Xenopus tropicalis: one gene and its partners. The protein of the gene in region 1 purifies or fractionates together with the protein of each later gene. This does not show direct contact. Links are inferred from orthologs where the notes say so. Each region holds a gene or a part of one and is shown in the gene's direction. Other genes may lie near its edges.

The links.
Region 2: the proteins of mtf2 (region 1) and eed purify together in Homo sapiens (affinity purification with mass spectrometry; 3 studies listed by BioGRID and IntAct, with this or other methods). This does not show direct contact. The link is inferred for Xenopus tropicalis from reciprocal best matches to the Homo sapiens genes MTF2 and EED.
Region 3: the proteins of mtf2 (region 1) and ezh2 purify together in Homo sapiens (affinity purification with mass spectrometry; 10 studies listed by BioGRID and IntAct, with this or other methods). This does not show direct contact. The link is inferred for Xenopus tropicalis from reciprocal best matches to the Homo sapiens genes MTF2 and EZH2.
Region 4: the proteins of mtf2 (region 1) and jarid2 purify together in Homo sapiens (affinity purification with mass spectrometry; 3 studies listed by BioGRID and IntAct, with this or other methods). This does not show direct contact. The link is inferred for Xenopus tropicalis from reciprocal best matches to the Homo sapiens genes MTF2 and JARID2.

Annotation. Positions count from the first base shown.
Region 1 is NC_030680.2:104,196,939-104,202,184, reverse strand, and holds part of mtf2 (metal-response element-binding transcription factor 2), read left to right. Parts: intron 1-16; coding exon 17-128; intron 129-1,397; coding exon 1,398-1,456; intron 1,457-1,530; coding exon 1,531-1,629; intron 1,630-5,246. UniProt on the Homo sapiens protein: Polycomb group (PcG) protein that specifically binds histone H3 trimethylated at 'Lys-36' (H3K36me3) and recruits the PRC2 complex, thus enhancing PRC2 H3K27me3 methylation activity.
Region 2 is NC_030678.2:168,812,592-168,817,837, reverse strand, and holds part of eed (polycomb protein eed), read left to right. Parts: intron 1-228; coding exon 229-294; intron 295-1,022; coding exon 1,023-1,148; intron 1,149-2,033; coding exon 2,034-2,115; intron 2,116-2,327; coding exon 2,328-2,419; intron 2,420-3,375; coding exon 3,376-3,509; intron 3,510-5,049; coding exon 5,050-5,155; intron 5,156-5,246. UniProt on the Homo sapiens protein: Polycomb group (PcG) protein. Component of the PRC2/EED-EZH2 complex, which methylates 'Lys-9' and 'Lys-27' of histone H3, leading to transcriptional repression of the affected target gene.
Region 3 is NC_030682.2:55,123,077-55,129,040, forward strand, and holds the start of ezh2 (histone-lysine N-methyltransferase EZH2), read left to right. Parts: upstream 1-2,062; 5' UTR 2,063-2,154; intron 2,155-2,723; exon of another isoform or gene 2,724-2,839; coding exon of another isoform or gene 2,840-2,877; intron 2,878-5,964. UniProt on the Homo sapiens protein: Polycomb group (PcG) protein. Catalytic subunit of the PRC2/EED-EZH2 complex, which methylates 'Lys-9' (H3K9me) and 'Lys-27' (H3K27me) of histone H3, leading to transcriptional repression of the affected target gene.
Region 4 is NC_030682.2:92,472,558-92,477,803, forward strand, and holds part of jarid2 (protein Jumonji), read left to right. Parts: intron 1-2,455; coding exon 2,456-2,952; intron 2,953-4,933; coding exon 4,934-5,026; intron 5,027-5,246.

The DNA of each region.
Region 1 (5,246 bases):
ACCCACTATATTTTAGAGAGATAAACAATGGTGAGGTGAAAAAGAGGAAACCAGTTGGAAGACCACCAGGTTCTCACAGGAGAAAAATTTTGCAAAATGAGCCATGTGAAACCCCATCTCTGGCAAATGTAAGAACATTCTCATACTATACAAAGAGCAGTATAGTTGTAAACTTGTTTTGAAAATAGTCAGAAGCTCATTTTTATGAAACCAGAGTGTATCGTGTGGTATGAGGCATAGAAGAGGTTTAGTATTTTTTAAGGTTTCTGTTTTAGTTAGTGCTGTCTTCTGCATGCCCTCCAGTGACACATGAAGTACCTGGGACAGCTAGGGACTCATCAACAGTCTTTTTGTTATTTTTTTTACTGGCTACGTGCTCCATGTTCCTTTGGGACTTGATTCTTAAAATCCCTCCTTACTGCCCAGGGAATGTATCTGGCCCCACCTTGAATGACTTTCAAATAGGTTATTCCCTCTGTGCTCAGTCAACTTCTGTTGCACAGTGCTGTGTGCATAAGTAGCACTGTATCAATAAAAATATACACACATACATCAAACATTCTTGGCCAGCATTAACTGTTTGCAACCTTGCCTGAGGAAGCTGCTCTTGAGGGCACTGAACACTCTCCTTAGGCCTTGCCCATGGACCTTGCTGTATTCTGCTGCTGTTTTAAGCAGACCATGCACACTGTCCCTCTCCATTTTGTCTCAGAAAGCAGGTGAAGCTTAACCTGCTGTATCGATACAACAAACAGTAGGTGAGGTGAGTTAGTTTCCTATGTAGTGCCATGCAAAGGTATTCAGATCCTTATTAAGTATATTCAGTTTGCTGAGCTACAAATCCTACACTGAAAGTTTCTTATTATGTTAGTTTAGATCTCCTTTTAAAGTGAATGGTATGCAGTATGGGCACTCTTGCCCACTTCCACATTTGCTTAAATGTTTTCTCTACTAGCAGTACTCTAAACGCAAAGCTGAGCAGTATAGAATCATCAAAATGCAATCGGTTTAAGCAGCTATATTCTTCAGAAATGCAATCTTTTACCTGCCCACTGCTCCCTTGATACCCTCCATATCATGCCAGATCTCAATAGTCAGAACTGTGCAGGCAAGTAAAATATCCCTTTTCAAACAGTCCCACAGATTAAATTAATCCAACCTCTATCTTAAAGCATAATAGCAATCAGACAGTAGACTGTAAGCTCTTTTGGGCAGGGGCCCTCTTTACCTCTTGTACTGGTTGTTTTTTCTTGTATTCATTCTTGTATATTCCATAACACTGTGGAAAATGTTATTTTATAAATAGAAAATAATAATAATAATATTGAGAAACAGTACAAGTTATACTAAATGTACAGTGCTAGATAAATTCTAAAATGTATTGATATCCTTTGCAGAACATGGATACTGAACCTGTATCAGAGAATTCCTTGTTAGATACACCAGAACAAAGAAGGTATGGGTTTTTAGTTTTGTTTTTAATCTACTGCCTTTTTGTTTTGTTTTTATAAACAAACGTGTTCTGTTTAGCAGGAAACCGGAGGTGACCAATTCATCATCCAGTAACTCAGATTTAGAAACCAGTGGTGCTGTCAGTGCAAAAGAAACTACCTCATCTATTGTTTCCAGGTACAAATTAATGAAGCTACCTCAAGTAGCTCCCCATCATCTTTTTTTGTTAATTTTAAACACTTGTTTTAGCTTAAGGTATAAAGCTCAGGTATAAATAGAATATACTTTTCATCATACAGTGAGTAGTGATTTAGATTCAAAAATGTCACTGGTTATTAATTAGCCCTGTAGAATTACAGTAGAACCCCCATTTTACGTTTTTCATGGGACCAGAAAAACACTAAAATCCTGGAAAATGTAAAATAAGGGAAATGCATCATTCAGGAGACCACAAATTGTAAAATGAGGGAAAATTTAAGAGTTATTTGACAGATGAAACATCACGTTCTTCTTGTGGTTTGATGATTTCCTGTGACCCAAAAGCTTAGTTTGTTGACAACAGCCAAGAGCACACTGAACATGTGTAATGTTGCTTGTATTTTTTTTTTTTTTTGTGCTGGTAAGTTTTATTGTAAAAGGAAAACTATTCAGGTACAAAACATTTGACAGCGCTCAAGGAGAAATTACAAGGGTTTACAGTTTTACAGTCAAATACATGTCTCATCATAGAACTCACATCAGAGTTATAATTATGGTAATAGATAACCGATAACAATCCCCTCCTGGGTTCATATACCCTGTGATGGATACAGGGGTGGAGGCGCTAAGGAAGTAATAGTACTTGTGGAGGGGCCTTATGAGGCGTGGGCTAGCCAGCTGCTCCAGATATTGATAAAGGTGTTGGGTTTGCCTTTCCTGCTTAGGGAATGCTTTTCTTGTGTCGCTTTTTCAGGTATCATTTACGGCCCTAAGCCATGTGTCAATAGGTAGGCGCCATTTGCGATTTCCAGTTGAGGGTAATAAGCCTACGGGCTTGAAAGAATACCCTGGCTAGCTAAGTTAAGCTCAATACCAGTGGTGATGTTAAGTAGTACCAAGTTTGGTTGATGCTTATATCAGTTACTGAGCCTATTTTGTCTGGGATATTGACCCAATAGTTTTTCAGTTCAGGGCATGCCCAGAGGACATGGAATAAGGTGTCAGTTTGGCATCTAGTACATTGGGGGTACTTCTGGATATATTTTGTGTAGTTTCTCCGTGGTATAATATGCTTGGTGGATAAGGTATAGTTGAAGCATCTTGTGCCTGCAATTGATAGAAACAAATTTAATTTGATTAATAGCAACTCCTTTCATTGATCACCCGTCAGGTACACCAGGTCATCTTCCCATGCATCTCTACACTTCAAGGCAACAGACTCACAGCTAGCATTGATTAGTTATTTGTATAGGGTGGACATTTTTTGTGGCCCTTTCTTATGGTTGACAGTAGTGGGTCCTCAGAGGTGGCAAGGAATGAGACTGTAAGTGTTTGAGGGTCATTTGCAACCTGAGGTATATTAGCTATTCAGAGCCTGGTAGAGAGTTGTAGCGTTATAGGGATGAAAAAGGGATCATCCTTCCCTCCTCCCAAACATCTTTGATGGATGTGATACCTGAGTTTACCCAGTGACTTGGAGGGGGGCATTTCTGCCAATTTCCCAAGGGTTTTGTTGCCCCAGAGGGGGGTAGATGGGTCTATAGTGCGCATTCTAAGTAGTTTTCATGCATCGTCATAGCCTTTTTTTTTTACAGCTGCTATTATGGGGTTGGGAGGAGATAGTGTTTGCTGAACCAATACAGCCTGCCTGAGGGTCATGTAAAGAGGTAGCTGGGTGAGCCAGGTGCTGTATAGTGCTGAGCATGGACAATCAGGAGTAAGGGAGCAGCAATGTCGCTTGTATTTAAAAAGTGGCTAACAAGATTGGAAATTTATTATAATTTATTTTAAACTTTAGACCTACTGTAAAAGAGGGTCTTAAATTAGTCCCACTTTCCCTCATAGTTCATTTCTGTTCCTGTAATGGATCTGTACAGATCTGCACTAGAATGAAATATTCTCTAGATTGCCACACCATATATACACTCTGGATATATATAACATAACAAGTGCTGGAAACCATATACCTGTTACATTCCTTCATTAGTCTAACTGTTCCAGAGCTTTTTACTGTGGAATCTCAGGTAACAAATTAGTTTCTTCCTTTACTTGGGGTCACCTTGAATCTTCACTATAGTTTGTAATTATATATTTGACCCCTTTTGGATAAACTGAAGTGGACTTCAACTTTGCTAGGGAGGCCAACAGGAACATCTTTAGCAACAAAGGGACTCCTGGTCAGAAGAACTTATACCAGAATTTGGCCAAAGTTTTATATAATACCACCTCCATACACCAGGTCCCTTTACTGGTGGCATTATTCCTTTAAGAAATAAGTTTTTGCTCTTTGGAAAGCTCTGCCTTATAAAAGCTACAGCAGGGGAGTATCAGCCTTAGACACCAGTGCTTTGGTCAGGAGATAGTTTTGCCTGGATAAGTAACAAAGCATAAAGGTGCAATTTTATATAAAATGTATATAGTAGAAGAGGTAACCCGCATTAACAAGTGGGCACTCATTTGTAACAATGTTACTGTATGTAGTTGTTGAATTTGAAATGAAACTATGAACAGTTAAAAAAAAAAAAAAAAAAAACCTTTGTTCCTACTGGGTCAATGACACACATGCTGGGCAGATTGGAAACATATTTGGACACCAATTTAGACTCCACCACCACTGATGTAGTGTAGAATTCACAAAAAACACTGGGACAAAACTTGGCACCTTGGCCTGGGACAACACCTCACCCACGGGAATTCCCTGACAAGACTATATACCAGTCCTGACCAGATTAACAATTCATTTGTGACATATTATTTCAATCTCTACCAAGCTACAGGTTACCATGGCAGAAATAGATAATTACCTCCACAACATAGATATGTCTGAAATTGACAGCCCAACTACCAGGTGTACTAATTACCATACTCCCCAAGTTTGCATACGTTTTTCGGCAATCCCATTGTAATCCCTTATAAAATCTTTATGAAACTTAGATCCTTGACACTGACCCTATACTGGAACAGGGAATACCCCAGAATTTCTTTTCACACCCTGCAACTCCCTACTGAACAAGGTGGGCTTGCAGCCCCTAATACCCTGTTATATACTACATAGTTGCGCAATTATTAAACGCATGGAGATGGGCAGCATCATCAGGGCCACAAGCAGCCACAACCTTGGAGGCACAAGTAATTGGTTCTTTTTGTAAGAGCTTAAAGGAACAGTAACACCAAAAAATGAAAGAGCTTTCACGTAATAAAAATATAATGCACTGTTGCCCTGCACTGGTAAAACTGGTGTGTTTGCTACAGTAACACTACTATAATTTATATAATCTGCTGTGTAGCCACGGGGGCAGCCATTCAAGCTGGAAAAAAGGAGAAAAGGCACAGGTTACATAGCAGATAACAGTTCTGTAGAATACAATAGTGTTTTATCTGTTATCTGCTATGTGCCTGTGCCTTTTCTCCTTTGAATGGCTGCCTCCATGGCTACATATAGCAGCTTATTTATATAAATTATAGTAGACTTTCTGAAGTAAACACACAACTTTTACCAGTGCAGGGCAGCAGCACATTATATTTTAGTTACTTTTATACACTTTCATTTTTTGGTGTTACTGTTCCTTTAAAAACTTAATACATAAGGGCACCAG
Region 2 (5,246 bases), on another chromosome or scaffold:
CTGATAGGGAACTGGAGCCTTCCTTTGCTTGTGTGACTGCTGGGCTGTGATTGGCTCTCCCCCTTTTACTGTGCTTCCGGCAGGGACATTTAGGACATTGCTACTATTATATACTATATATACTATTATATATTATAAGGTGTTCCGGCTTTCTGTATATTTCTGCGAGATATCGCTATGCATATCCGTGGCCCCTCTGTTCTAAGAATGTTTGTTTTTCTCACATAGGTAACGTTATATGAATGCCACCCACAGGGGGAAATCCGACTGCTGCAGTCCTATGTGGACGCCGACGTATCCTTGACGAGTTTTGCTTTTTGCTGAAAATATTTGGAATTTGCAGTTAATTGTTGTTCACGGTTACAATCTAGGTTCCCAATCACATTCACACACACACACACACTAGTTGTTTCAGAAGCCAGGTTACCTGGCTGTATGTATTTGGGTGTGGGAGGAAAACAGGGTACCCAGAAAAAGCCACACAAACTCGGGGAGAACATACAGACTCTTTGCAGAGGAGCCTAGGAACCCGGCGCTGCAGGATTAAATCCAGGATTTGGTTCGGGATTTGGCCTTTTTCAGCAGGATTCAGCTGAGTCCATGGACCTGGCCCAACAGAATCCTTTAAGTCACATGACCTTTTTGTCACATAAACACGGAAGTTGAAACATTTTCACCTCGTACTTTGCATATGGTTCTCTTTAACCATTCCACAGCCTTATTTGTATATTCCAATTAGGGTTCGTTATTTAGCCAAATCTTTTATGATGGATTCAGGGTTCGGCCATATCCCAAAATAGTGGATTTGGTGCATCCCTAATCTTTAACCTGGGTATTTGTGACCCCTCATGTTAACTGGGAGTGTGCTAATAGTCAGTAAGAGCAATTAATTTAATGATTCAGACATTATCTATCAGTGGGGAATTGTGGGTGTCATGAACTGGGGTGCCTCTCCGCCCTTGGGTCTGGGACTGCGACGGATTCCATGTACAGCTTTTTCTCTCCTTAATTCTTACATTCAGGCAGATGAGAACTTTTATACTTGCGCTTGGACGTACGACAGCAACACAAGTCACCCACTTCTAGCAGTGGCTGGTTCTAGAGGGATCATAAGGATAATTAATCCTATTACTATGCAGTGTATTAAGGTAAGAGGATTTTCCTTGCATCCGTGGGATCATTTACAAGCTTGTTAGTAGCTGATATCTTAATCTGTAGTCTGGGTTTGATGCTGCCCTCACTGTTTGAAGATCGGTGCTTAAGGGTAAGAACTCACAGAGCGGTTCAGTGGCCCACGACAAACTGCTTTGGAAAGGTTTTCCACTGGAGACAGTAGGAGTCACCGGTGGAAAGCCCTTCACATTGTTTCAGTAATGCAAAATCTTCAGGGCTTTGGAAAACAAAGTGATGCAAAGGGCTTTTCACTGGCGGCTCCTACAGTTGCCGGTGGAAAACCTTTCCAAAGCGGTTTGTCGTGGGCCACTGAACCACTCTGTGGGTTCCTACCCTAAATACCCTTCTTGTATAAGCAAGTTGAGTAGTCTTTACGGCTATCACCAGATTTTAAATGCTGCAGCTGTACAGAAACTCCAGCTTTCAATATATTGTTTGTCTCATTTACTCATTTGATTGTGTTAAAGGGAAGGATCACCTTTAGGTACATTTTAGAATGGCCAGTTCTAAGCAATTCGTCTTATAGTTTTTTATAGTTTCTTCTAACACTTGCCAACTCTTAAATGGGGATCACTGACCCTAAAAGCCAAAAATAAGCTGTTCTGTGAGGCTACAATTTTTATTGCTTATCTTTCTATTCAGGTTCTCTCCTATTCATTTTTAACCCTAGCAACCAAAAAGTGTAATAATTAAAAAGCACAAATAATAAAAAATGAAGACCAATTGCAAATTGTCTCAGAATATTACTCTGTACATCATACTAAAAGTATCCCCCTTTTTCTGTAGGATTGCAAATAGCATTGTACATGGAATATATAACCATGCATAATATCTTTAATTTTCCTTCCACTTTCTTCTAGCACTATGTGGGCCACGGAAATGCTATCAATGAGCTTAAATTTCATCCAAGGGATCCAAACCTCCTCCTATCAGTTAGCAAAGGTAGGTGTGGAACTGTATAAGCTCTGAAGGGGTTGGTGGAGCTTTAGTGTCTAGGGGGTCACCTTATTTTTGTATATAATGTGCAGAAGTGAATTTATATCATAACCAACTCTATGTACTGTGGTTAAGAGCAGCTCTGTGCCGCTAAAGGCTATGGCTGCTGGTTTGTATGTGTCTTATTTTTTTTACACCATGTTTTATGCCCCCCGCAGATCATGCGCTAAGACTTTGGAACATACAGACAGACACACTTGTAGCCATTTTTGGTGGAGTGGAAGGTCACAGAGATGAAGTGTTAAGCGCGGTATGTATACTGCATTTGGGGGGGTGTTAGTGCTGTGTAGACCTGTTGAGAGAGAAGCATGCTGTCCCCCTTTCCTGCACAATATATAAACTCATCCCAGTCAGATATTAACCCAAACACAACTTAAGCGTTTAGAAAAGTAAACATAAATTCAAGTATTTTTACTTAGAAAATATGCAGCCTTTTCATGATGTTTAATGTAATAATCTGGTTTGGAACAGTTCCCTAAGCCCCGCCCCCTGTTCCCCTGCTGATTGGCTGACTACTTTGTGACTCAAATAACATGTAACAGTAGTTGCCTGTTCTCAGCCTGCCTCCTCCCAATCCCACAATCCCCTGCTGCACACGTGATGTCAGTAAGGAAAGGAACATCCCAGTGCAATGCATTGTGGGTTATGTAGTTACTGCATGCTGTCTGTAAGCTGGGGAGAAGTTGTTACAATTTGTAACATCAGGGCTTTAGTCCCTCCTCCCCTGCCAGGATTTCAGATGATGCAGAAAGAGAAGAACTGTTTTGCAGCTGGATTTTAGCATAAAAAATGGTATTTATTCCTTCTTTTTGAACAGATTACAGGGATCCCTATATTGGGGGTTTCTGTGCTGTGTGGGGCTCTTTAAGAAATTCTGGTACAGAAGCCGGAGTTCCCCTATTAGCAATGAGACTATCGTTTTGACTCAGTGAAAGGGCCAATGAGCTGCTGACTTGCTCAGAAGTATTCAGTATCGGCCCACATACAGCCAGCCTAATGGGTTTATTCACGCCTACATTTCTTCTCTAGTTTAGCTCAGGGCACACGGATTTTTGATTTCTTGACTTGAATATTTTGTTAGGCTTTATTGTTGCGGAAATATTTTCTTTCGGAAAAACGTTTCTAATATAGAGCATGTAGAATTTAATTTTCATATTGTTTTACGTAGCCATAGCTCAGTCTTAACTTGCTGCCTCTTTGCCTTAGGACTATGATTTGCTTGGTGAGAAGATCATGTCATGTGGTATGGACCATTCCCTTAAGCTCTGGAGAATTAATTCTTTAAGAATGAAGACGGCCATCAGAGAGTCTTACGAATACAACCCCAATAAAACAAACAGGTAATGCGATGCTTGACTGAGCTCGGTTCTGGACCCCGCAGGTCAATGTTTGGTATCCAAGCAATAACCAGCCTTACAGGCATACAATAAAATGGCAGCAGTGCTTATAGTAACCACAGAAGCTGGAAAGTCTGCTCAGTAACTGACAGTGCAGCTGCAAGGGTCAGTTTGTGTGTGTCTCTCACAGCAGCTATTTATTCATGCATTAATTCCCATTTAGTAAAGCCCTCTACTTTATTTGTCAATAGTTCTATAATAGTTCCCTAAGTTTGCTCATAGCCTGTACAGAGAGATACCATAAAACTATGGCAGCATAGGGATTCCCCTGTACTAAGCACAATTCAGCAGGAACAGCCCCCTAAGTTTGCTCATAGCCTGTACAGAGAGATACCATAAAACTATGGCAGCATAGGGATTCCCCTGTACTAAGCACAATTCAGCAGGAACAGCCCCCTAAGTTTGCTCATAGCCTGTACAGAGAGATACCATAAAACTATGGCAGCATAGGGATTCCCCTGTACTAAGCACAATTCAGCAGGAACAGCCCCCTAAGTTTGCTCATAGCCTGTACAGAGAGATACCATAAAACTATGGCAGCATAGAGATTCCCCTGTACTAAGCACAATTCAGCAGGAACAGCCCCCTAAGTTTGCTCATAGCCTGTACAGAGAGATACCATAAAACTATGGCAGCATAGGGATTCCCCTGTACTAAGCACAATTCAGCAGGAACAGCCCCCTAAGTTTGCTCATAGCCTGTACAGAGAGATACCATAAAACTATGGCAGCATAGGGATTCCCCTGTACTAAGCACAATTCAGCAGGAACAGCCCCCTAAGTTTGCTCATAGCCTGTACAGAGAGATACCATAAAACTATGGCAGCATAGAGATTCCCCTGTACTAAGCACAATTCAGCAGGAACAGCCCCCTAAGTTTGCTCATAGCCTGTACAGAGAGATACCATAAAACTATGGCACATAGGGATTCCCCTGTACTAAGCACAATTCAGCAGGAACAGCCCCCTAAGTTTGCTCATAGCCTGTACAGAGAGATACCATAAAACTATGGCACATAGGGATTCCCCTGTACTAAGCACAATTCAGCAGGAACAGCCCCCTAAGTTTGCTCATAGCCTGTACAGAGAGATACCATAAAACTATGGCACATAGGGATTCCCCTGTACTAAGCACAATTCAGCAGGAACAGCCCCCTCACTGCCCCCCCCCCCATCCCAGTACTTGGCCTGTGCAGAAGTGAAGGGATGATTCTAAGGTGAATATCTCTTCAGCAGCACATGTTTTGTTAACTATATGGCAAAGATTCTATTAATGTGAACTGTTAGATTTGTGAATGTTGTACAAAGGTGAACAACCCCTTTAATGCACAAATGAGCAGTGTCCTCCTTAAGTAATGGCTTAAATGGGTTTGCTAATTTATTAAGGTGAGTTATATACATTTTTACAGTGAAATATTGAATGTTTTAGATTAAAATTGTATTACAAGTGGATTTCTCTAACTAATCTGTATTTTCTCATTGCAGGCCATTTGTCTCGCAGAAAATCCATTTCCCTGATTTTTCCACAAGGGACATACACAGAAACTATGTTGATTGTGTCAGGTGGTTAGGAGACCTTATTTTGTCTAAGGTGAGTGTTACTGTCGCTATCACTTTGTGTATGCATTGATCATACAGTTACATACAGTAAACAACAACCAGAGATAAAGGGGCCCTGCCCA
Region 3 (5,964 bases), on another chromosome or scaffold:
ATCACGAAATCCAATCATTTCTGATGATTGAAAATTCTTTTCGTTTGAATACAAAAATTTCATACTTATGATCTAAAAGTTCAGAAATTTTCGTATTGAAATGATCGTTTACGTTTGACACAAAATTTTTGTATCCGAACTATCCTAAATGGAACCAAAAACTTTCTAACTTTAATCCTTCAGTGCATGACTTTGGAAGCCTCCCATAGGACTCAACGGCACTCTGCAGCCAGGGCCGGATTTCTGTATTTGGTGCCCCAAGGCCGCCCCCATTCTGCCGCCTGCCTACTTCGATCGTGCATGCATACACCTGCACCTTTAGCGCAGCCAACCACCCCTCCCGTTTGTGCATGCGCGCCACTTAAGTCATACGGATCGGTGGGGAGAGGACGCGCTGAAGTTTCTGCGCATCCGGTCCCCATTGCTCCGTATGAGCAACATCACAATGCGACTGGGCGGCATGCCGCCCCTACATATGTTCCGCCCTAGGCCCGGGCCTTTGTGGCCTCGCCACAAATCCGTGCCTGTATGCAGCACCTGGCCAAAGGATACTGAAGCTTTAATGAATCCTGAAACTTTCATACGCAAAGTACGAAAAAGTTGCTGAAATTAATAAACAAATTGCAGAAAATACACACACATTTATAAAACTTAGAAAAAATACAATTTTTTTTGTATCCGGACTCAATCAAACATTGATAAATGGGCCCCTTTGTGTACTTGATACTTTATTTGGATAGGCTCATTGGGACAGGTGTTGTGTTTTAAGGCCCAATTAAGCAGCTGAATTTAGTAAGAAATCACATCCCATGAAATCTTTAATAGATCTTTTGTTTTGTTCCTCGGCCCGGTTTACCCATAGGCCCTGCAACCCGTGTGTAACAGTGTGGCATTAAACCTATTGATAAACAGGTGTGCAACCCATGCTAATGTAGTACTGGGAGCAAATCATAGCTGCATGTGTGCGGCCGGTCAAATACCAAAGCACATAGAAAGAGACAGGCCCACCTTTGTGCCCCATTAGACACTAGAGCTGACTGGAGTCCGTAACATACCATACTAGCCCATTCAGATCGAAGGGCTGTGTCGAGCAGCTCCTACAAATCCACACTAGGGCAAATTTCGTGTAAAGATATAAACTTGTCAGCCCCTCTATAAACGTACACATCAAAGTATTACTACGTTTCGGCCAACATGCATTAAAAACACAGTGGCACTGATCGAGTTCGTTCGAAGACAACTAATAGCAACTATACAACCTTGCACTTCCCTTCCCACAATTCCCCAGCAATCTGCCTCAACCAACACGTTCTGCCGCCAGGTTACCTGGGGCCATTCTGTCGCTGGTGTAGGAGAGCACGTGATCTATAGACCACGCCCCTTTCTACAGTCACCGCCCAAAACGCTTTCAGTTTGAATTGCTCCATTTCTAATTCCGCGCTGCATTGATACGGCGGGAATTGTCAGCGCCCGGTAGGACCGTTCTTAACCCCTATACGGCAGAGTCATATCCGTGTGAATCGTGTACACAAGTCACAGCTGTTATAAAGCGTGTGATATTCATCCCGGCTACTTCAAGAACAGAACAATTATATTCTGAATGGGCGCGCCGGCTGCTATAACTCGGGATAAAACCGATGGCATATTGTATATGTATATATATTTTTTTTTTTATCGTAAACCAGTTGTAAATTTTCAAACACACCCAGAGATGAGAATATTGGTTGAGCAATAAAACATTAATAATGTAGTATAAAGTAAAATATATATTGGAGTAGACCAAAAAGCGCCAGAGCGCGCCCCCGTCTCAGTCAGTTTTAGAGTACGGCCAGAACAAAGGAAAACAGAGTGCACAGCGGCTCTATAACACTGTATGAGGGAATAGCTGGCGCCGGCTTCGTTTTCCCTCTCTGCTTTCCTATTGGCTCGTACAGTTCCGGGCGCCCTTGAGCAAGCCAATTGGAACCTAGTTAGAGGGAGCTAAGCACCGGTCATGGGGGTGGCTGAAAGCTGCGAGAGGTGGAGGTTTATCTGGGAGATTTAGTTTGGCGCCTGGGGCTGGCGGTAGTGCAATAGGGATTCCATCGGTAAGGAGATTCGGGTAGTAAGAACGGAAGAGGAGAGCCAGGCGAAGGGGAGACGGTCATAGACACGGTAATTGAAATAGAGCCTAATTATGTACCGGGCACATTGGTAATGTGGGCCCTATGTGGGAGCAGACGAGGACAAAGGGGCCGCCCCCGGCAACAGAGGGGGAGGGGCTCCAAATGCAACCTTACAGCTGGAGTTTAATGCGGGAATATTTTCACTGTCAAATCGTGGTTTGATTACAATAACAGGGTTGTATGGTCCGAAGTGCTGTGTAATGGAGATTTAACTTCAATGGACGTGTAAGATAGACAATATACCAACACATAAGTGATCGGGCCAATCCTGTGACAACCATAGGATGCCTTTAGCCTGTAGCGGGTTTCTGGTGATTCTGGGAATTGTAGTGTGGCCAGAGCTTGTACTCTGTGTTTCACATCTCTGCATTCGAACGTGGAAGTAGCAGGTTAAGATTTAAACTCTGGTGTCTTAGGGTCAAGGACTGTTGATGCAGTCCAACTCTAAGTTGGACTGAACATGTATTGTAGGATTGCATATCCCAGCAACACCTCCAAGGGTTTGCTAGTCTTCTGCATATCATCTGTATTTGGTGTTGCCTCTTTGTTGGTTTCCAGCTGTTGAACTACAACTCCCAGCACTGACATTGGTGAAAGTTATACTTCAACAACAGTCTGAGGGGACACTGAACATCCATGGCAGGGCAGCTGTCACACATGAAGAGAGGACAACCATGCTGGGCCATCCAAAGCCCTCTTCAGCAAGTCGCAGGTTTCTCTTAATATTCTACCTCAAAACCTCTGTAGGGCCAAGTGACTTTCTGATTGAGGAATGAGAGGAACTGTGTGGTGCCAATATAGTGGTAGGGGGTTAAGTGCTACTGTAGTGAAGTTGCATCAGTTGAGCACTAAGGACTAGACAGAAATCAAGCTTTTTCCACGTACGTTATTGGTGTAGCTAAAACCTGCAGGTGAGGGTGTGCAGAGCAAAGTAAAAAGTTGTCATCAGATAAGAGTCATGGAACAGTCTGTCGGCAACAAGAGGAGGTACTGCGTGGGTGCATACAAGACACAATGCAGGAAGTTGTAATAGTTTTGAAAACGTGTTATACACTAGTGTCATTGACGGTATAGAAAGGGCATGTGTGTGCTGGGACATACATGGGGTGATTAACTTATTGAAACAGACTCCAAAGGGCTGTATGACAGCAGCTCCACGGTCAGCTGTTTTTGTGCTGTATCCGGCTGCTGCTTTAAGAAGTCATTTTGTGCATGACAAAGTTGTGTCAGTCGTCGGATGATATTGTGTGACAGATCATCATCACTTGGTATGTTTTTTTTCCTTCAAGATTTGTCTTGTGTATTTATTTTGTTATATATTAAAATTCCTTTTTAGCTCTAGGGTCTGACCCGCATATCCAATTTTTAAGTGAGTATAGTTGGAAATGCACTGTCAGAAATTGCATCTGATATTTGTACATGGCAGTGGGTGTGTATGATTTTTGGCTGCCACTATGTGCCCACACAAGCAGTTGTTCCAGCTACACTAACACATAAATTGGAGACATGCAGAGGATGTCTATCTTTGCGATTTGTCTATCTTTAGGGTCAGGGTTATGTATTTACCAGTGTCGGGCTGAAGTTTTTCATTTATCTTAAGGCTCTTGCTGGTCTATTATTGCTTCATCGTTAATGTAGTGACGAGTTTTGGTTTATCTGGCATGTTTGGAGTTACTGGGAGTGTGCATTTTCTGTGGCTAAAAATCAAAATAGAATGCGCACTTCTCAAACATCTCCTGATAGGCAGTTGGGTGGAACCAGCGTTGGTTAATGCACATGCACCACAACGCAACTATCACAACAAAATGGAAATCATTGCAATGTCAGTTGGAAGCACTGGAATAGACTCCCAACACATCCATGCCTCTGATCAGCTCGCTGATTATCTTTCCACAAGTGTATATTGAATTTGTCCTATTGGTGCTCTCTCACAAAGTTTGTAAGATCTAGGTAAAACCAAGATGTATTCCACAAGTGGTTCCACTTGTCCCATCCCAGTGTGCACCAAAGTAGGATAGGAAAAATGTTGGACATGGAGCTGCCTCCAGAGTCCTTGTCTGTGCCATTTAATGTCAAGCAGATGCAGTTGGAGACAAACTCTTCAGTAGGTTAGTTATTTGGGACTCCTTTTCCACCTTTCTGGGGCTCTTTGTTCATTACTGCCCACTTGTCTATCTTTCAAGCCCATGATGAAATGAAAAACTGTTCCAGCAATGACTTGGCAGACACTAGCCAGAGGAGGCCATGGACCATATATTAAAAGATGGGAAAGATCTTCGCACCAAAGGTTTTCCCTTTCATTGTAAGATCTTTGAGAGTCCAAAGACCTTTTCTTTTATCAAATCATTCTCTCATCCCAGAACCTTAGGGCAGCACCTTCACCACCAAAACATTCTCCAAGGATTTTAGTGAAGTCATACTTAATGGAAAATTAGGAAATCATGACAGTTTCACTGTCTGAAAAGCAGGGTTTTCTGTAGTTGACTTTAGCTTTTTAAACTCTTGCTAAAGGTGCCCATACATTATAAGATCTGCTCGCTTGGCGATGTCGCCAAGCGAGCGGATCTTCACCCGATATCCCCACCTACGGGTGGGCGATATCGGGTAGCAAGTAACTTAAAAAAAAAAGTAATGGGCCAAACGATCGGATTACATTTGTGGTTATGGGGCATTCGGTTCGGGGACCGCATCGGCTCGTTGATGCGGTCCCCGGATATCCAACCGGATATTCTAACCTGGGCGATCGAGATCTGGCCAATTTCAGGCCAGATATCGGTCAGCCAGGTCGCTCTGTTCTGCCCATACACGGGCCGATTAGCTGCCGAATCGGCCCCTATAGTCGGCCCGTGTATGGGGACCTTTAGTCTTCACAGGTCTAGATAAACACTCTCACTGACTGCTGATCTATGCAGAAGATGGTCGCATAGTGTATGTACAGTGAGTGCTTGATCTGAGATCTTGCTGGTCCTGTTGTGGTGATTCCTCCAATCTATGTATGTATAACTTTATTTATAAAGCGCCACAAGGGTACGCAGCACTGTAAAATACAAAATTACACACAGGGAGGACAAGTGTTGTAATAAATAAATATAATAAATATATATCAATGCACAGGGAATAAGTGCCATGTGGTATGAAACACAGTAGGAAGGACCTCCCTGCCCTGTAGAGCTTACAATCTAAGTGGTTGGGTAACATTCAGGCACAAATTGGAAAGTAAGAATGCACCAGGTAGGGGCATTTGCCCTTAAGTGCAGGACTGGACAAAATAATGTTTTAGTGCTCCAGAAGGTAACAGCTGAGTTTTTTCTTAAAGAGAGTGGGTGAGTGTTCCCTACGGAGGGATTCAGGGATAGAGTTCCAGAGGTAAGGAGCAGCAAGATAGAAAGGTTTAAGACAAGAGAGCGCAGTGGGTGTGGATGGTGTGAAAAGACAGAGGCTCTGATAGGAGCGAAGGAGACGACCAGGAACATGCAGGGAGACCAGTGAAGAAATGTGAGGAGCAGAGGAGTGACGGGCTTTGAATGTTAGCAGAATGATTCTGTAAACTATCATTTGCTTAAAAAGCAACCATGCTAGAGAGCTTAAGTGAGGCAGTAGAGTTTAAGATTGATTGCAGGGGAGAGAGGTGGGAGATTGCAGTAATCTAAGCGGGAAAGGATAAGGGCATGGATTAGGGTTTTAGCTGTTACTTGTGAAATAAATGGGCTTGTTGATGTACTTGGCAAAAAGCTTTATACAACAAACAAATTGAAGGTGAAAGAACCATTGACAAGTATTCTATTAAGGTAGTGAGGCT
Region 4 (5,246 bases), on another chromosome or scaffold:
GAGAAGAAAAACACAAATTTTTCAACCATATTCAGTGCTTGAGGGAATGTGAGACATGCGCTATTAAACTTTTATTGATACGTAGCCATCTGAGAATGCTGCAGAAGCTTGAACTCTGATATCAGCTGTATTTTTGGGGGACTGAAAAAGTGTTTGTCGTATTTTTTTTTGTAGGCACCCTATACCCAGGGCACAGAGTGTGATGACTGGACAATAGTTTCTTTGCATCATCATTTTTTTAAATTAAAGAACAACTCTTTCTTTTTCACCTCTTCCAAAAATGTCCCTCCAAGCTGAAGTTTGTTGTGCTGATCTCACTTTCCTTCTGTTTTTTTCAACTTAAGTTTGTTGTTTGTGATAAATGGCCAACATAACAATTCATCCACAAATGTACAATGTAACACAAAGGTTACGTCATTTAATACTGTACGATGAACAAAGAATACAATTGTGTGTCAGCAGACACAAACACGCATCACTAAAGCTCTCGGAACTTATCTCACTAAATGTTGGATTTGCCCAACATGGTGTGTTTTATGTGATTGTGTTGTTCAGTAATTATTTCAACTATGTTGAAATATAATTTAAGCAGCAGTAAAGTTTTTCTTTTAATTCACTAATTCACTGCCCTGTTAACTTCACTGTATTTCCAAGATCAGACCCTTACCATAAGCAATCCAGTCCTTACAATTTAGAGATTTGAGGTTGAATTATGATTATCTAATACTGCTGTTTTAAAAGTAAAACACATTCTAGGTATTGACGGTGAAATGTCTCTTGCTGACACCAACATGCATATGTACTTTTATGTATGTATTGAGTACCTTTCAGGGTTGTCACAAGTAATAGCTCACTTAGTGAATTGAAATATTATTTAATTTACTAATATGCAACTAAACATTTCCCTGAAGAAATAATCAAAAAGAACATGGAAAGGAGGTCATGCAGGGAACTTGATTTAGGGAATGATAAAAACACTTCTGAAGATATAAAGAGTGGAAACCAATATCTTCAAAATGGTTTTTCAAAAGTAAGAACCAGGGATTTATTCCCTGGCTTAACACCCACTTGTGACAACCCTAAGTACATTTGTGAAGTTCCTGGAAGAAGACACAAATGTTTTAATAACTTGACAAACTGATCTCTCTCTGTTTCTTTGTGGCGGTATGCCTACTAGGCATTCAAGCATCACTCGTTCTGCAAGGCTCTGACCGAAGACAGATCCTCTGGATCCCTGCTCTGCTCTACTTTTTTAGGGATTAGCAGTTTTTAAGGCTTCATTTACACATCCCTACCATGCTGACACAGTGGCAGAATGGGGCTGTGTACTATGAGCCACATCTTGTAGGGCTTGGGCAAATAGAGAAGTTAAGCTATCCCTTCACCAAGCAGGTCTCTAGAGTGTGTCCTGGGCAACTTATCTTGATCTCTGCCGGCTTACGGTGTGGGGAAGATACCCAAGATCACCTCTGGGAAGCCCAGTTGTCCTCCACAGGCTAGCTACAAACCATTAAAACTCGGCAGCCAAGGTACAGCACACTCCTTATTTTAGTCAAGACCTTGTTGGCTCTGGTGGTAAGTCAAAATGTATTAAAAAAAAAAAATGTATGCAAACAATGCTTTATTTACTGTTTCTTATGTTGTCAGATATTATTTCTCAATGTTCTGCAGTGCATTTTCATATCTTCAGTTTTCTCTAAACTTTGTATTTGTCTTTGACAATTTAGCTCTTATGTTGAGTATTCCCAACATTCTTAAAGGGGTGGTTCACCTATATGTTAACTTTTAGTTCTAAGCAATTTTTCAATTGGTCTTCATTGTTTATTTGTTATATATAGTTTTTTAATTATTTGCCGCCTTCCAATGACCCCGGCAGCCAAAAAACTATTGCTATGTGAAGTTTTATTGTTGTTCTTACTTTTTCTAATTGTCTTTACTATTCATGTCCTCTCCTTGGAGCTTCTGCAACTCCAAACTGGAGAGCTGCTGAACTGAAAATGAAATAACTAAAAAAACTGCAAGTAATAAAAAATAAAAACCAATCGCAAATTGTCTCAGAATATTACTCTCTACATCATACTAAAATGAATTCAAAGGTGAACAACCCCTTTAAGTAAAATTGCCACCCATGAGTGGCTTGCATAAAAATGTTAATGTTAAAAAATGCAAAATTGCTGTATTTATAGCACAGTGTAGTGGATTTGGTGACCTGTTTAAGCTTTTGGAGAAAGTGCTTTGAAATGTTTTCTGAATCTGTAAAAGTCCTTAAAAAAAAAAAAAAATTAGGGTTATGCATCATTATATGTTTTTATAATGTAGCCTAACCGTTTCATAAGGAATTAACTACTCATAGCTTTTCTGAGGGATCTTGTCATTTGCGAAGGATAGAATAGGCAGATTGCCACTTCTCTTTATTAAATGATTTTTTTTTGTTTTGCTTGCAACCTCTTTTTAGGAGGCTGTGAGCTAGATTTGGCCCAGTTTTTCCAACTCATCAATGAAATGGGTGGCATGCAACAAGTGACTGACCTCAAGAAATGGAACAAACTGGCGGACATGCTACGCATCCCGAAAACTGCACAGGATCGTCTGGCAAAGCTGCAAGAGGCCTACTGTCAGTACCTGCTCTCCTATGACTCCCTTTCCCCTGAGGAGCACAAGAAACTGGAGAAGGAAGTCCTGCAGGAAAAAGAAAATCTGGAGAAGAAGAAAGGTCCACTAGAGGGTCACTCAGACAATGCCTATAAGTTACATTTGCTCCCCAGATACGAGCCCAAAAATGGACTCATAAATGGAGTGGTGCATCGCAATGGTCTCAGAGGCAAGCTGAAAGAAATGGATGTCCAGGTGAAAAATGGCAGACGGAGACTGTTTACTCAAGATAAAGAGAGTACGGAGGAAGAGCCAGAAGACAAGAGTTTATTTGGTGAACTGCATAAGTGTATCTATAAGGTATGTATGCATACTTTTGTGAGTATAGTTGTCATTACATGCTTGAATCGTAATCTGCGCATAAGGAAAAATTGCCTTTGTTGATTGAAATGTTTTATGCTAGCATATATAAGAAGAAATTTGCAAGCTTAAGCATACATGTAACTACATTATTGATGCTTTTAAATAAAAAACCAAGTAAAAGCAACCGGTGCCATGAATCCCCAAATACTAATTGTACTACTACTACTTGGGGGGTGGTAATAGGGGGAAAAAAACACTCGAAGTGCAAAGAGACCAACAAGAGAAAAGGAGAGTAGCACCACTTGGTGGTTGGGGTAAGTGCACCCTCGGGAGACCTAAAGTATTTGATGGGATGAAAATATATAGGATGGTGAAATGGGGATGCACCTGCTGGGAAGAATAGTAGGAAGTATGGAGAAAATACCTCATTTGGTGGGAAGGGTAAAGGCATGCAATAAAATAGATGGATGGGGGTTGCACTTTATTCCAATTGAGTAAAGAAGTTGAACTTATCGTATAGAAAGCTGCCTTCATAGCTACTGCATGTGTTGATATTGACTTTTTTAGGCACAGCCATGGCACCAACAAAAAAAATTTTTGCCAGCAGAGATTTAATGAATTCCTGCATTATCTGTTTTCTCTGTTCAGACAAAATGCCAAAATAGGTGGTACCTATTTGTCACAGCCAATTTCTGACTTAGAGCATTTTCTTACATTACATTATTACATTAACATTTATTTATAAAGCGCCAACATATTCCGCAGCGCTGTACAATAAGTGAGTTACATACATTGGACATACAGAGTAACATATAAAGCAATCAATAACCGATACAAGAGGTGAAGAGAGCCTTGCCCAAAAGAGCTTACAATCTACAAGGAATTTGTTGGGTTTTTAAATCCATAAAAACCATCCAGGTTCATTCTCGGCCTGTGTTTATAGACAGGTTGTGAATCAGCACTGTGTGGGACTAGCCTAAAGGCCTAGATCTTGTCTTCTACAGGGTAGCCGAAAGTAAGGGCAATGAAAAATGGAGCAACTTGTCAAGGCTACAAAATAAGCAATACTGATTGTTGTCTTTCTATGTGTTTTAGCCTATAACAGGGTATCTTCTGGTGTTTTGTTGCCACCACAAGTAGCTCTGTGTGCCGTAGCCCTAAGGTTTCTCCTAAGTATCCAAAGTTAGTATCCTAAGTTTTTACGGCATTTGTTTTATCCTTATTCAGGTGTTCTTCTTTAATAAGATGTGGAAGTTGCATTGCCTTATTATTGTGTCTGCTTCACATTCACCAACAGAGCACTAAATATAGTCAAATAGGGGCTTTTTGACCCCGCAATCTAAAGTATGCTTATTTTTGGTGCAGCTCTATAAAAATGTAAGGTTGTACTGATGCACATCTCCATAAAACGGTATATACACACTTGATATTGGCACACTTGAGAAACATGGGGCTTTCCAAATCAGCTGTATTTTTGTGTATTACAAAATATCTGTTTACATATGTTTATATTTCTCTAAATAATAAAATACCTGAAGGTGTTTTTCCACTGTTATATTCCACTAGATATTTTTGGGTTTATGCAATATAATGTGCAAACTTTGCTGCAGGTCTAATGACCTTTTGGTAACCTATCAGCAGAAATCATGTACTAGTCATCTTACTGCTATGGGTTACTGCACCTGGGTATAAACTTTGTGTTTTATTACATATGGGGGTTGGGACGTATATCTTGGTACAGAAGTTAAATAATCGTTGTTCTTTGTCTGAGATCAGTGATGCCAGGATACTTTTTAGCACTACAGATTAGACCACAGGTTATACACAGTGCATGTACATATAGATAAAGTCATACCGGTATCTTATATGCAGATGTGAAGCCTATTGCTACATGTTATGAGGTGGTGAGAGAAGAAGTTATTACTTGGGTTTGTGTGTGGGTTCTAAGTTCATTCTGTCTTGTTAACTTCCTGTGCAGGGAAGGTCTGTCTCTCTCACCACATTCTACAGGACAGCAAGGAACGTCATGAACATGTGCTTCAATAAGGAGCCCACCGTATCTGAGGTTGAGGTGAGTGTGGGTGTAAGAATGGAGTGGAGTAGAATGTTCCAGGAAAAAATAAGTGATAAGCGTGATTTACCCTATTGGCCCATATGACTCATTTCCTGTGAGCAGTAATACAGGGCCTACTCACTAATATAGGGCCTACTCATGCCTTACAAGCCACAAAGTTACAGTAATGGCTCTGGGGGAAATATAATGTCAAGACACAGCAGGAAGTAAAGAGCAC